Rattus norvegicus: one gene and its partners. The protein of the gene in region 2 purifies or fractionates together with the protein of the main gene of each other region. This does not show direct contact. Links are inferred from orthologs where the notes say so. Each region holds a gene or a part of one and is shown on either strand. Other genes may lie near its edges.

Region 1 (4,181 bases), on a different chromosome or scaffold from region 2:
CACCAGAAGAGGGCATCGGATCTCTTTACAGATGGTTGTGAGCCACCATGTGGTTGCTGGGAATTGAACTCATGACCTCTGGAAGAGCAGTCGGGTGCTCTTAACCGCTGAGCCATCTCTCCAGCCCATAAAGCAAGTTTTAAGACAGCCAGGTCTACACGGAGTGACCCTGTCTTAAAATTTTTTTTTTTTGTTTTGTGTTTTTTCCCCCTCAAGACAGGACTCGTTATGTAGTTCAAGCTGGCTTTGAGCAGCCTCCTGCCTCAACCTCCAGAGAGCTGGAAATGCTTATTTCAAAAAGGATGCCGAACAATCCAACAGGAAAGCAGAATCTTCTCAACAACTGGGTAGCTACATAAAAAAAAAATTTACTTCAGGGGAAAAAAAAATCAACTTTATCTAGTTTTCTCACCCAGAAATTTATAGTTTTGTTTTGAGAAAAGTCTATGTAGTCTGGACTGATCTTGAACTTGAAGCAATCATCCTGTCTCAGCCTTCTGAGTGCTAGAATTACAAGCATGAGCTAGCACCATTAGCTGACATTCAAGGACAGAAATATTAGTGTTTGATCTTGGAATGGATGCCCCAGATTCACCAGGGGTGGGGATATATATATATATATATATATATATATATATATATATATGCACATATACATTATAATACATTATATATAAAAAGCATATGCATATATATTATATAAAGCATATATACATATATATATATATATATGCTTTCTTAGGATGTTTATTCATTTATGGATCAAACTGTTATTTAAAAGCTATTAGTCACTATGGGTCAAACCAAGGGGCTAACATGCCAGGAAAGCATTCTAGCAGGACTACACCTCAGGCTTTCATCTGCGCTTTCTAAATCTGAGATTTATTTTTGTTTTGTTTTGTGTTTTGAGACAGGTTCTCTAGTGTAGGTTGTCTTCAAGCTCTCTGGCTGTGCAGTCAAGGAAAACTGTGATGTTTTGATCCTCCTGACACCATCTCTATGGAGCTAGGATCATAGCCATGTCCCACTACATGTGGGGCTATATATTGAACTTAGGGCATGATTCATGTTAGGCAAATGCTAAACCAACTAACTTATTAATCTAACTCCAGGCCCTAAATCTGCTCTGCACGGACATACAGAACGTTGAAGGACTTAAGACTGGTGTCTAGCATGAATGCTAACTGCTGTCTTAATCAGTGCTTTAGATAGTAGTTGAAATGACTCAAGTATAGTAGTGTAACCGTGTCAGTTAACTAACTGTGTGCCCGGGGGACAGAAGGGGCAGAAGGTTGCTACAATGTTGTAATTGAAACAAAGGTAAGAAAGCAACAGAAAGAGTCCATTTTTGGGGAAGCCACAATGTATCAAAAGATGCCACACCTAGCCTCTGGTGCTGGGTAGATCAAATTACTACTTAGGTTAGGTACTTAAATTAAGAGGCTTGGCTGGAAGGCTCTCTTGTTATGGCTCTATTTACTTCAAGAATCCCATCTCAGAGGTGGCCTTTAGCTTAGTGATAAGAGTACCTGCCTAGCACAATCAGGGTCCTGGGTTTGATGCCCCCTCACCCCCAGATAACAAACACAAATCCCATCCCAGGTCTTCTTGAAGGAATTAGACTGTCACGATCCATGATAATGCTGATTAATTAAACCTACAACTGTGAAGGGACAACCTTAAGGGGGGTGGGTGGTAAGAGTACTTGCTGCCCTTCCAAAGGACCAGGTTTGTTTCTCTGACACACTGACATCATAAGCATCTGCAACTCCAATTCCAAGAGGTTCTGACACCCTTTTCTGACTTATGTGGCACTAGGCACAAACGTAGTGCTCAAACACACATACAGACAAAAATACCCATATGTTAAAAAAAATAACAAGAAGACTTTTTTTTTAAAGGAAGAAGGAATACAGACTCCATGCCTAGCACCTAGGAGTCCATCACCTTCTGTCTTCAGCCAGAAAGGCTCTCTCCTCTTAATGTCATCTTCGTTTCAAAGTCACTGGTCATTTACATTATAATACCTCTGGCCTGGTCAAACAGCCTTTATGGGGTGAAAAGGGTTGGTAGTGGAGTCCTGGCTGAGTCCAGAGTGGTCCTGAGCCACCAGTCAGCCAGGAGACCTCCGAGGTTTCCAGGGGCCTCACCCTTACTGAGCTGTGGACACATCTGATGACCACCACCTAGCTTAGACTGAGTTCCTCTCGTGCAGGGCCGCTGCTAAATTCGCTCAGTGGGCTGGGGAACTCTGACAAACAATTGCGTAGACAGGCTGTCACTAGGTCAAGGGGCTCTTCCCAGAGAGTGGCGGGGGGTGGGGGGGAGAGGGGCAGACCCAGTGGGAAGGGACAGAGGGCCCGGGGGAAGTAGGCGGGGCGTGGACGACAGCGCTGACCTGGCGTCATCTGAGGGCTAGCCGAGCCCGTGACAAACAGGGAGGGGTGGGGCTGCTGCAGGGGTGCGACCGGACACTGAGGGGAGGCTGGGGGTCCGTCACGGGGCGCAGTGCAGCAGGAGCGCGGGCCAGGGCGCCGGGCAGAAGAGCGGCGCGGCCGGGAGATCTCACTCGGGTATGGGCTCACCTGGGGAGGCTGGGCGGGGCGCAGCGCGGCGCAGCAGCGAGGTCCCAGGTTCCGGGTCGGCGGAGGCCGCTGGGGACCTCGCAGAAGCCAGGCAGGCCGGGATCGGGCAGCGGGGCCTTTGGACACCAGGACGAAGCACCCTCCAAGAAGGGGAACGGCCCGTGAACGCGCGCGGAGCCAGCTCGCGCCAAAAATTCCAAACCGGCCTCGAGGCCCCGCCCAGGCTCGTCTGTGGCCCCGCCCCCTCCTGGTACAGCCGGTCAGGCGCCCGGGGCACTGGCTCCGCCTCGCGTCCTGCGTGCGCACCGAGGTCTCCCCGCCCCCGAGGTTTGGCCAAGCGCTCTCCCTGCGCAGGCGCACCTCTTCGGGGACTATTGCCGACTAGGTAGCTAAATTCTTAGTCCTAGAGACCAGGTGGGAATGATCCTTGACCCGTCGGTGTCCTCCGGACATTTGTCGGCCTTCAAACTATGGTCCTCCTACCCGCTGCTCTCCATTGGCTGCCTTAATATTCATATCCATAAAAGGGGCATTTCCTCAGGAAGTTGCCACTGGGGCAGCTCAATCAAATGTCCGTTACGCATGATCTTCTGCACATTCAGATACCTGTTCTCTTCACCACAGGATCGCGATTGAGAGTGCCTCGTCTAAGGTGGAGTCTCCTTACTTCAGTTACTTCTGAGGCAGTTTACATCCTTTAGTTCTGAACTTAGTGTTCAACTCAGACCCCTCTCAGTCTCTTCCTGCCCTCATAACTGCCGGTATATGCTGGGCATTCCCAAGCTTGAGATTGTCACCTCTCTTCGAGACGTGGAGCCAAGGAACCTAAGATGATTTCTGCAGAAGGCCTGCGTGAGCAAACGTGGGATGGAGCTTGCTTCTGCAGGAAAGGGACCTTTATCGATTTCATGTAGAAGTGAGGTATCATGCTTTACAGCCAGTCTCCCTAAAATGTTCTGGCAATCTCTTAGGAAGGAAGGCCAGGCCCTACCTAGACCCAAGATCAAGAGCAGCACACTTCCAAGCCCTTCCCTTTGCATTAGCGTCTCCGAGAGCCAGAACCTTGTGACTTGGGTTAGTCCCTGTTGAGGACCCCAGGCAGGTCCCTCTCCAACTATTTAGAACTACTTTCTGCCGGCCCCATTTTCTGGACAGGCCCTGCCCACTTCTAACTATTCATTCCTCAAAGTCTAATTCATAATGATTAAAACAAACAAATAAACAAACAAACACAATAACTAAAAATACTGCAATGGTACATGCCTATACCCCAAGCACGGAGGCAGCCGAGGCAGAAAGAACACATGAGCCCAGGAACTGGAGGCCAGTTGGGCACTATAACAAGACCCCTATCTTAAAATCAATCAAATAAACGATAAGTAAAAGTTGGGTATAGTGGTATATAGCTCTGTAACCCCAGCACTGAGGAACGGGAGGCTAAGGCAGGAGAATTTTTTTAGTTTGAGGCTACCATAATAGATATCAGAAGTTCCAGGCCCTTTAGAAGAAGGAGGAGGAAGAGGAGGAGGAGGAAGAGAAAGAGAAGAGGGAGAGAGGGAGGGAGGGGAGGAAGAAGGAAGGCAGGCTGGAGAGATG
Region 2 (3,893 bases):
GGTAATTCTCAGTCCTCTTAGTAGCCTACTGATGTATACTTCTTTTTTGGGATTAAGGTTATCCTAGAGCTATGAGGACAGTAGCCCTAAAACCAGAATAAGATATTCAGTGTTGCTTTGCCATTAGGGTGTTTTTATCGAAAGAGATAAATACTTTGACTTTAATGTCATACACAGAATCACCCCATGCTATGGATATATCTATTGTCTTAGAAGACGAAAAGCCAGTGAATGTTAATGAAGTACCTGACTATCATGAAGATATTCACACGTACCTTAGGGAAATGGAGGTAAGGCTCTGTTCATCAAAAATGGCTAAGTGAAGCAGAGAGGCTAACGATGGACACCTGCTAACTGCTAGCAAGTTACTCCAACGCTAAACTTAACGGCTACAGTGTATGTTAATTGTGTCTTTGTGAATGGTGAAGTAACTAATCATAGTTTTAATTAACCCTACTGAGTTTTTCTTCAGGTTAAATGTAAACCTAAAGTGAGTTATATGAAGAGGCAGCCAGACATCACTAACAGTATGCGGGCCATCCTTGTGGACTGGCTAGTTGAAGTGGGAGAAGAATATAAACTACAGAATGAGACCCTGCATTTGGCTGTGAACTACATTGATAGATTCCTCTCCTCCATGTCTGTGTTAAGAGGAAAGCTTCAGCTTGTGGGCACAGCTGCTATGCTGCTAGCTTCGTAAGTCTAGCTAATTTGGTTCAAAATCATCACTCACCACTCCTTCCCCCCATTTATATTCCATTTATATTTTATTGGGTGTTTTGCCTTTGTGCATCGTGCGTATCTGTAGCACATGTGTGGTGCCTGCTGAGGCCAAAAGAGGGCATTGGGTCCCAGTCATTGTGCCATCTCTTCAACCCCCAGTTTTAACACTGACACCTTTAGGGATGGCTATGGGATGATTCTGAGTAGAGGGTGAAACTTGTTTTCAAGTCTAAAATATAAAGCTTTCCAGATCTGGATTTTACATGCCTTGAATGAGAATACATTTTATCACACTAGATGAAGAGTTTGAAAGTATGGTTCTTCTACAATAAAGTGCTTTCTGGAGTATAAACAAATTCTTCCTTACATCAGGAAATTTAAAAAAAAATTGTATTCAGGAGACAAATCAGAAGTCCCTTAGTGATTTGGGCCTATGAATTGGTTTTTAATCATCTCAGCTAGAGATGGCAGTCAACTGTCAGTGGGAGTGTGGTTGGTGGAAGTGAGTAGAGTACAGTCTATGTAGACAAGACCTTCTTTTGAAAAAACTCATTTACAACTTCTTTTGTTATAGAAAGTTTGAAGAAATATACCCCCCAGAAGTAGCAGAGTTTGTGTATATTACGGACGATACCTATTCCAAGAAGCAGGTTCTGAGAATGGAGCACCTTGTATTGAAAGTCCTTGCTTTTGACTTGGCTGCACCAACAGTAAATCAGTTCCTTACCCAGTACTTCCTGCACCTGCAGCCTGCCAACTGCAAGGTAGAAAGCTTAGCGATGGTAAGTCCAGTTTGGGGTTTGTTTTAGGTTGCAATTAGGGGCAAGCCCTTAGTTTCATTGTATAACACTGCTTAAGAGAGAAAGTATTTCCAGATAGTTAATGCTCCAATACACAGAAAATCCTATAGCCCTCTATATCTGTGGGCTCTGCGCATATGGAATCAATGAACAGACATTAAATGTAACTGCCTATGTACTGGATAAACACATATCAATCGATCTTTTTTGTATTACACGTAATATTGTACTAGTGATATGCATGTAGCATTAGCTTATGAAATGGCATATGTAAGAGACTTGAGTATCTGGTGTCCGTGGATAAGGGCTGAGAGGTCCAGGAGAGAATTTTCCAATGAAGGCCCAAAGATGACCATTCCAGAAAGGCACTAACTAGTGGTTTAAAGAGAACATCCTAGTAGCTGTTTTAAGTTATTAGCTGAGAATAGAGCAGAACATTGAAATAATTTTCCCAGGGCTGGTACGGAACCAGTGAGAGTACCCAAGACAATAGAAACTGGTCAAGAAGCAAGGTTTTGAATCTGAGTCTGATGTGTGACTGTAAAGTTGTTTTGGTTTTGGTTTTCATTGCAGTTTTTGGGAGAGTTAAGTTTGATAGATGCTGACCCATACCTCAAGTATTTGCCATCGCTTATTGCTGGAGCTGCCTTCCACTTAGCTCTCTACACAGTCACAGGACAAAGCTGGGTATGTATTAACTGTTGCCTTCACAAGTATTGGTGTTCTTTGTCTTAACCTTAAACTTGCATTTGAAAGCTCTGCTTCTAGAGTCTGAGTCACCTGCTGCGAGCAGGGGAAGTAAACAGTCAAAAGAGTGAGCTAAAATGTGGGGGTTGGCACTCTCGGAGGCAAAGGGGAGGGGTCAACATTTGGAATGTAAATAAATTTATAAAAATTAAAATTAAAAAATGTGTCAAAGATTAGTGCCAACATTTAGATCAACTGTGAGTTCATGGTCAGTGCCCTGTGCTGTTACTAAAAACTCAATGGTTGTCTCTTTGTAGCCTGAGTCATTGGTACAAAAGACTGGATATACCCTAGAAAGTCTTAAGCCTTGTCTCATGGACCTTCACCAGACCTACCTCAAAGCACCACAGCATGCCCAACAGTCAATAAGGGAAAAGTACAAGCATTCAAAGTAAGAACCATATTCTTTACTGACTAAAGGATAACAGTAATATGCCACAGCCACCTCAGTAAGATCTTATGTCAACATAGGAAGCTTTTGTGCCTTTGCATCTGGTAAGAGATGGGTAAGGGAACAGATATGTGTCCTAAGTATCAAATGTTTTTAAACTCATTAGTCTAATCAAATAAAAGTAGCATTTCTCCAGTCTTGGGACGCATAAATTGTTTGTTCTGTGATCTCCCCGATGAATGTTTACTAATAGGTTTTTATTTCCTCTGCTTAACAGATATCACAGTGTTTCTCTTCTCAACCCACCAGAGACACTAAATGTGTGAGAGTGAAAGACTGAAATGGAAATCGCTCAGAGTTCATGCTGTACAGTTTTTATCTTTGGTTTTAATTTCACAATCATTTCTGAATGTAGATGGTATAGCCACAGACAAATTATGTTATCCATTACTTTTAAAATGGTTTTAATTTGTATATCTTTTGTACATGTGTCTATCTTAGATTTTGGCTAATTTTTAATTGGTTTGTTAACATTGGTGCTGCCAACTGTCAAGATAATAAGAATAAATTGATTTGGAAATCTTTGAAAGTGATAGATAATTTGGCTAATTTTAATTGGTTTGTTAACATTGGTGCTGCCAACTGTCAGGATAATAAGAATAAATTGATTCAGAAATCTTTGCAAGTCAAAGTTAATTTGAGGCAAAAAGAATGATGTCACTTAAAAAAGCTAATTTGATTTGTTTTATTGTTGAGGGTGGGGTAGGGAAAGCTTTTTATAAAATAAAATATTTCAGGGAAAGATGCCTTCAAATTTTGACATTGATTTTAATAATTGTAAGCAACCAAACCAAGTTTCTGACTTGGTTATAAGTAACCAAAAGTAGATGAATCTGTTTTCAGTGTAGCAGAACTCATTCAGAGCTCACATGTTACAGTAGTTTATGGAGACATTTTATTTACCAACTTTTACAAATAAGGTTTTACATGAATTGGGAAGCTTTTATGCAACAGAAAAGTTTTCCAGAAAGTTTATTCGAAGCATAATGTTAAAGACAAAACAGTTTATTAAGTTCAGCTCATAATAGATTTTCAAATAAAAAATATCCAGAGCTGTTAGCACTGAGCAAATACCCTCTTATTAGTTATATATATATATATTTTATATATATATATACATACACATCCACACCACTTTAGCTTAATTAGCAGTTCTCTTCTTTTTCCTCCTT
Region 3 (4,330 bases), on a different chromosome or scaffold from region 2:
GCTGTCTTACCAGGGGATCTGTCCATCTCGCCACAAGAATGGCACTACAGAAGCACCTGACTTCTACGTGGATTCTGGGGATTTGAACTCAGGTCCTCAGTACTTATGCAAAGGAGCTCTACCCACTGAGCCAGCTTCCCAGGCCATGCCGTGTCTTGTCTTAACCCAATCCCTGCTCAGGCCCAGTACCAGCAGCAACTGCGCTCCAGATTCCTCCATCTCCGGCACCACTGACTGCACTGGCCGAGGTCCTCTGGGGGAAAAGGCTCCTCGAGGAAGAGAGACCTCTCGAGGCCAGTCGTCTTCTGGAGGCAATCCAATGAGACTGTAGGGACAGGACAACTGTCAGGAGGGGCCCCTTCCCAGCCAGTTGCTATGGAATGTTCCTTTCCTTTTCCTTAGTGGATACTTACTCAAAGATTTTGCCCAGCTGGTCAGCCTCAGAGTTCCCACAGAAGAGAGGCCTAAGGTAGAAAGATAGTCAAAGTACATTCTTTTAAAAACCGGAGTAACCGTTAAGTGGACCAAACTAGAGTGTGGAGCTAAGGAACAGGAAGTTACTAAATCCAGGGCATTTCAGATTTGCCCATGTGGTTTCTTTTCTAGGCAAGGTGATTGGTATGAACTGGGTAGGCTGGGACTATGGCTGGATGGCAGGGGACCATGCCTATGGAAACCCCAGGTTGGGTATCCTGCACTGTACATGCACAAGAATGGTCAAGAACAGATAAGTCTGTAAAAGACCTGGGGCAGAGTGTTTAGTTTAGTGGTACAGAGGCATGGCTGAGGGGTTGGGGATTTAGCTCAGTGGTAGAGCGCTTGCCTAGCAAGCGCAAGGCCCTGGGTTCAGTCCCCAGCTCTGAAAAAAAAAAAAAAAAAAAAAAAGAAAAGAAAAAGAAAAAGAAAAAGAAATAGAGGCATGGCTGAGTGTACGTGAGTCCTGATTCCAACCTCTAGCACCGTGAGAGAGCAGCAAAAGATCTGTGGAACTGAAGGTGGCTTAAGAGTTTCAAGTCCCAGCCAGGCAGTGGTGGTACATGCCTTTAATTCCTGCACTCTGGAGGCAGAGGCAAGAGTTCAAGGCCTGCCTGATCTCGTTTCTGTGTAGCCAGCGCTACACAGAAAAACCCTGTCCCATGGCAAACAAAACAAATGTTTCTAGTCCCATACTTCCGGCGAAACATCTCTGCGAAGATACAGCCAACACTCCACATATCCACAGGCGTTGCATATGTAGACTGCAGAAGAACTTCAGGAGCCCGGTACCAGAGCGTAACAACCTAAAGAGAATAGGAGAAATAAGTGAGTGTTGTCCTCGTAAACAACTGTTTGGCTCTGAAAACTTCAAGTACAAGACTCCTTAGTCGCTTTGGGAAACCACCAAGCCCTACCCCGAATCCCAACCTATTCCGGCTACTGTCTTACTGACCACAGGCGTGAGGGCCATCTGGTAGCTGTAGATTCTGGCTAGGCCAAAGTCGGCCAGCTTAACTGTCCCATTACTTGTCACTAGAATGTTCTCTGGCTTCAGGTCCCGGTGAACAATGCAGTTTGCATGAAGGAAATCTAGGCCGCTTAGAAACTGGCGCATCAGATCCTGGTTTTGAAGAAAGAAGCAGAGAACTGTGGAAACTATGTATCACTGTGTCCAAAATCCCAACAAGTTCTACTGCACATATCAATCCACCTCCACCCACCCCTCCACTCACCTTAATGGTCTCAACAGGCAAGCCCGGCGGAGGTGCTTTGTCCAGGTATGTCCGTAGGTCCTGGTCTATATGCTCAAACACTAAGGTGACCTTGATGTCCCGATCAGTTCGGGAAGTAGCACAGACATCCATCAGCCTGAGAAGAACAAATGGTCAGGAGCTGGCCATCCCCTTTGTTTCAACATGGCCTCTGGCGTTCTAGGGTCCCACTCCTGACTAACGGGTCCTATTGTCCTCTCCGCCCCACTCCCAATCCAACCTTCTCACCGTACAACATTGGGATGTTCAAAGGCCTCCAGCCTTCTTAACAAGGCCACCTCACGAACTGTGCTGACGGGAAGGCCCCCTCCAGCTGCTCCTCCATTAGGAACTCTCACACTCTTGAGAGCCACAAAGTGGCCACTGTGGGGATCTCGGGCTTTGTACACCGTCCCATAGGCACCGACACCAATTTCAGCCACGGGTTCATATCGAGTGGTAGCCATTCTCGGAGCAGGGGATCTACAATCACAGAGGCTTCTAATACCAAGCTCTCTCTCACAGTTAGGAGGAGATGACCCGGCAGTAACAAAGAAACTCCTGCACAAGACCTCACCAACATTATCACCAGCATCCCACCCTCCACACATCCAGGGCCCGCGCTCCTTAGGTAACACAAAGACTTCCAACAAACCCTCTTCCAGCCACGTTTTGTCCTGGAGGAAGAAAAGAATGCTTTCTTTTCTTTCGGAGGACCATTGCGCCCGGCACAAAGAAGATCACAGTGCACAGGGCTTGCATGGAACAGTCTGCGCTTCACTCTCTGAAATCACACCCTCGCCCACGACCACAAAGGCCCCACTTCCCGCCATTGGGCCACCTTCCATACTCAGCCAGCGACGCGCACGCGTGGGGAGCTGGAGGGTGCTAGTGCTCGTGGGGACTGGCCCCCCGCTTCTGGAAAGGGTTGCACTCACCTTACGCTCGGCCAAGAGCTGCGGAGGTGGCCCTTTATCTGGGCCCGGGAGCCGTTTCCTGCGGCGCCATACACCGGGGATCGGTCCCGGGCAGCTGGACGCTTCGGGCCAGACCATAGACACAGGCCGCGAGCTAGAGAGGCCCCCTCACCCCCACCCTCACCATGTGACCAGCTGCCAGAGAGGCGCGCGGAAACCCGGGAGGCGGGGCCGACGGCGGACGTTCTGGACACGTGACCTCCACCCATGCGCACTCGGCGACCGGGGCCCCTTTGATGGGAGGGGTGTGGTGGGGGAAGAGGGCGGGACCTGTACTGCCACGTGACCTGTTGCTATCCCACGTGACCCCTTTACTTTGCGCTGAGAAGCGGAGGTGTGGTTACGCTGTGTGGCACGTGACCGGCTGCCAAACCCTGACTGCGGAGGGGGTGTGTGGGGGCGAGAGAGGGTGGGGCACAAGGCGGTGCCATGGCAACCGGGCCAACCAGCTCTCAACGCTCAGCTCAAGGCCGAGCCTGAGAGCATCTTCAGTCTCACTACGCGTCTCTATGTGGGCGGGAGGTCGAGGTGCTAGTGGGAGATCCTGGTGCCAGAGATGGTGCTGTAACATTTCCACTCCACCGCCATGGGGAAACATTCGTATTTGTGTCTTCATTTTACTCATTCATTCAACAAAATTTTACTAAGTGCTTCCTTCCAGTTGGTATGCGATGTTTTTGTTTTGGTGTCTCAGTCACTCCGCCCTTTGAAGTGATGATAAAGATAGCTAATAAGGCAACCGTGGTCTTATAAAAACAGGGAGTAGACAATTTCTATCCGAGGAGGAAACTAAAAGATGGATAGAAGAAGATTAACATAGTAAGCCGCTGTATGGGGGGCGACAATGTAATGCCCTCCTTCTTCCCAACTTGTAAACCTCCCCAGGAATATTAAAAGCAGCAAGAAGTTATTGGAAATAAGGGTTCTTGATCTTACAAGTGTCTTTACACTAAGATTGCTATATATATATGTGATTGCATGAACAGACAACAGGGTGAGCACATCCAAGGGCAGTCACCACCACATTGCTGGAATATGACTTGTGTCCCTCTGCAAACCTGTGACTCCTCATAGGGGTCACATTCCTTTTTTTCCCCAGTCCTGCTTAGAACGTACCCTTGCCCTGATCAGCGTTTCCTAAATGGTCTGCCTACAGAAATCTAGTCAGATAGAGGTAGATCTGTGTGACGATTTGGTTGGCTCCAACTCCTTTATTGTCTCCCATCAATTAGGAGCATGAGGATAAAAGACCATGTTCCCAACTGTGAAGAATTGCTAAAATCTAGACCTATTTTTGGTGCCGAGGATTGGAGTCAGTGTTTTTATATGTAGTAAGAATTGGTTCAGTCACTGAGCTATATTCCTGAACTTTAAACTCTCAAATCATATTTGAGACACTATAGCTGAGGAGGCTGGTCTCAATAGCAATCTTGGTGCCATAGCCTCTAAATGCTGTTTTTACAGACATGAGCAACTACTTTGGCTGTTTTTACTGTTTTGTTTTAATGAAACAAGGTCTCATATAGCCCAGGTTGGTCTTAAAATGGACATGTACTCAAATACTTGACCCTCCTGCTCCATCTCCCAAGAACTAAGTGTAAAGGCATGCATGTAACACGCTCTTTT

The links. Proteins that work in one complex are often made in the same cells at the same time.
Region 1: the proteins of Ccna2 (region 2) and Pkmyt1 purify together in Homo sapiens (affinity purification with mass spectrometry; 3 studies listed by BioGRID and IntAct, counting the BioPlex papers as one, with this or other methods). This does not show direct contact. The link is inferred for Rattus norvegicus from reciprocal best matches to the Homo sapiens genes CCNA2 and PKMYT1.
Region 3: the proteins of Ccna2 (region 2) and Cdk4 purify together in Homo sapiens (affinity purification with western blotting; 3 studies listed by BioGRID, with this or other methods). This does not show direct contact. The link is inferred for Rattus norvegicus from reciprocal best matches to the Homo sapiens genes CCNA2 and CDK4.

What each region holds. Positions count from the first base shown.
Region 1 is NC_086028.1:13,251,451-13,255,631, reverse strand, and holds the start of Pkmyt1 (membrane-associated tyrosine- and threonine-specific cdc2-inhibitory kinase), read right to left. Parts: upstream 2,807-4,181; 5' UTR 2,586-2,806; intron 2,574-2,585; exon of another isoform or gene 2,432-2,573; intron 1-2,431. UniProt on the Homo sapiens protein: Acts as a negative regulator of entry into mitosis (G2 to M transition) by phosphorylation of the CDK1 kinase specifically when CDK1 is complexed to cyclins. Mediates phosphorylation of CDK1 predominantly on 'Thr-14'. Also involved in Golgi fragmentation.
Region 2 is NC_086020.1:121,354,811-121,358,703, reverse strand, and holds the end of Ccna2 (cyclin-A2), read left to right. Parts: intron 1-177; coding exon 178-290; intron 291-472; coding exon 473-696; intron 697-1,297; coding exon 1,298-1,505; intron 1,506-2,096; coding exon 2,097-2,210; intron 2,211-2,527; coding exon 2,528-2,661; intron 2,662-2,938; coding exon 2,939-2,987; 3' UTR 2,988-3,341; downstream 3,342-3,893. Other genes in the region: Exosc9 (exosome complex component RRP45), read right to left, coding at 3,863-3,893. UniProt on the Homo sapiens protein: Cyclin which controls both the G1/S and the G2/M transition phases of the cell cycle. Functions through the formation of specific serine/threonine protein kinase holoenzyme complexes with the cyclin-dependent protein kinases CDK1 or CDK2.
Region 3 is NC_086025.1:64,769,929-64,774,258, reverse strand, and holds the start of Cdk4 (cyclin-dependent kinase 4), read right to left. Parts: upstream 2,807-4,330; 5' UTR 2,666-2,806; intron 2,211-2,665; 5' UTR 2,195-2,210; coding exon 1,977-2,194; intron 1,846-1,976; coding exon 1,710-1,845; intron 1,598-1,709; coding exon 1,430-1,597; intron 1,281-1,429; coding exon 1,171-1,280; intron 465-1,170; coding exon 414-464; intron 326-413; coding exon 190-325; intron 1-189.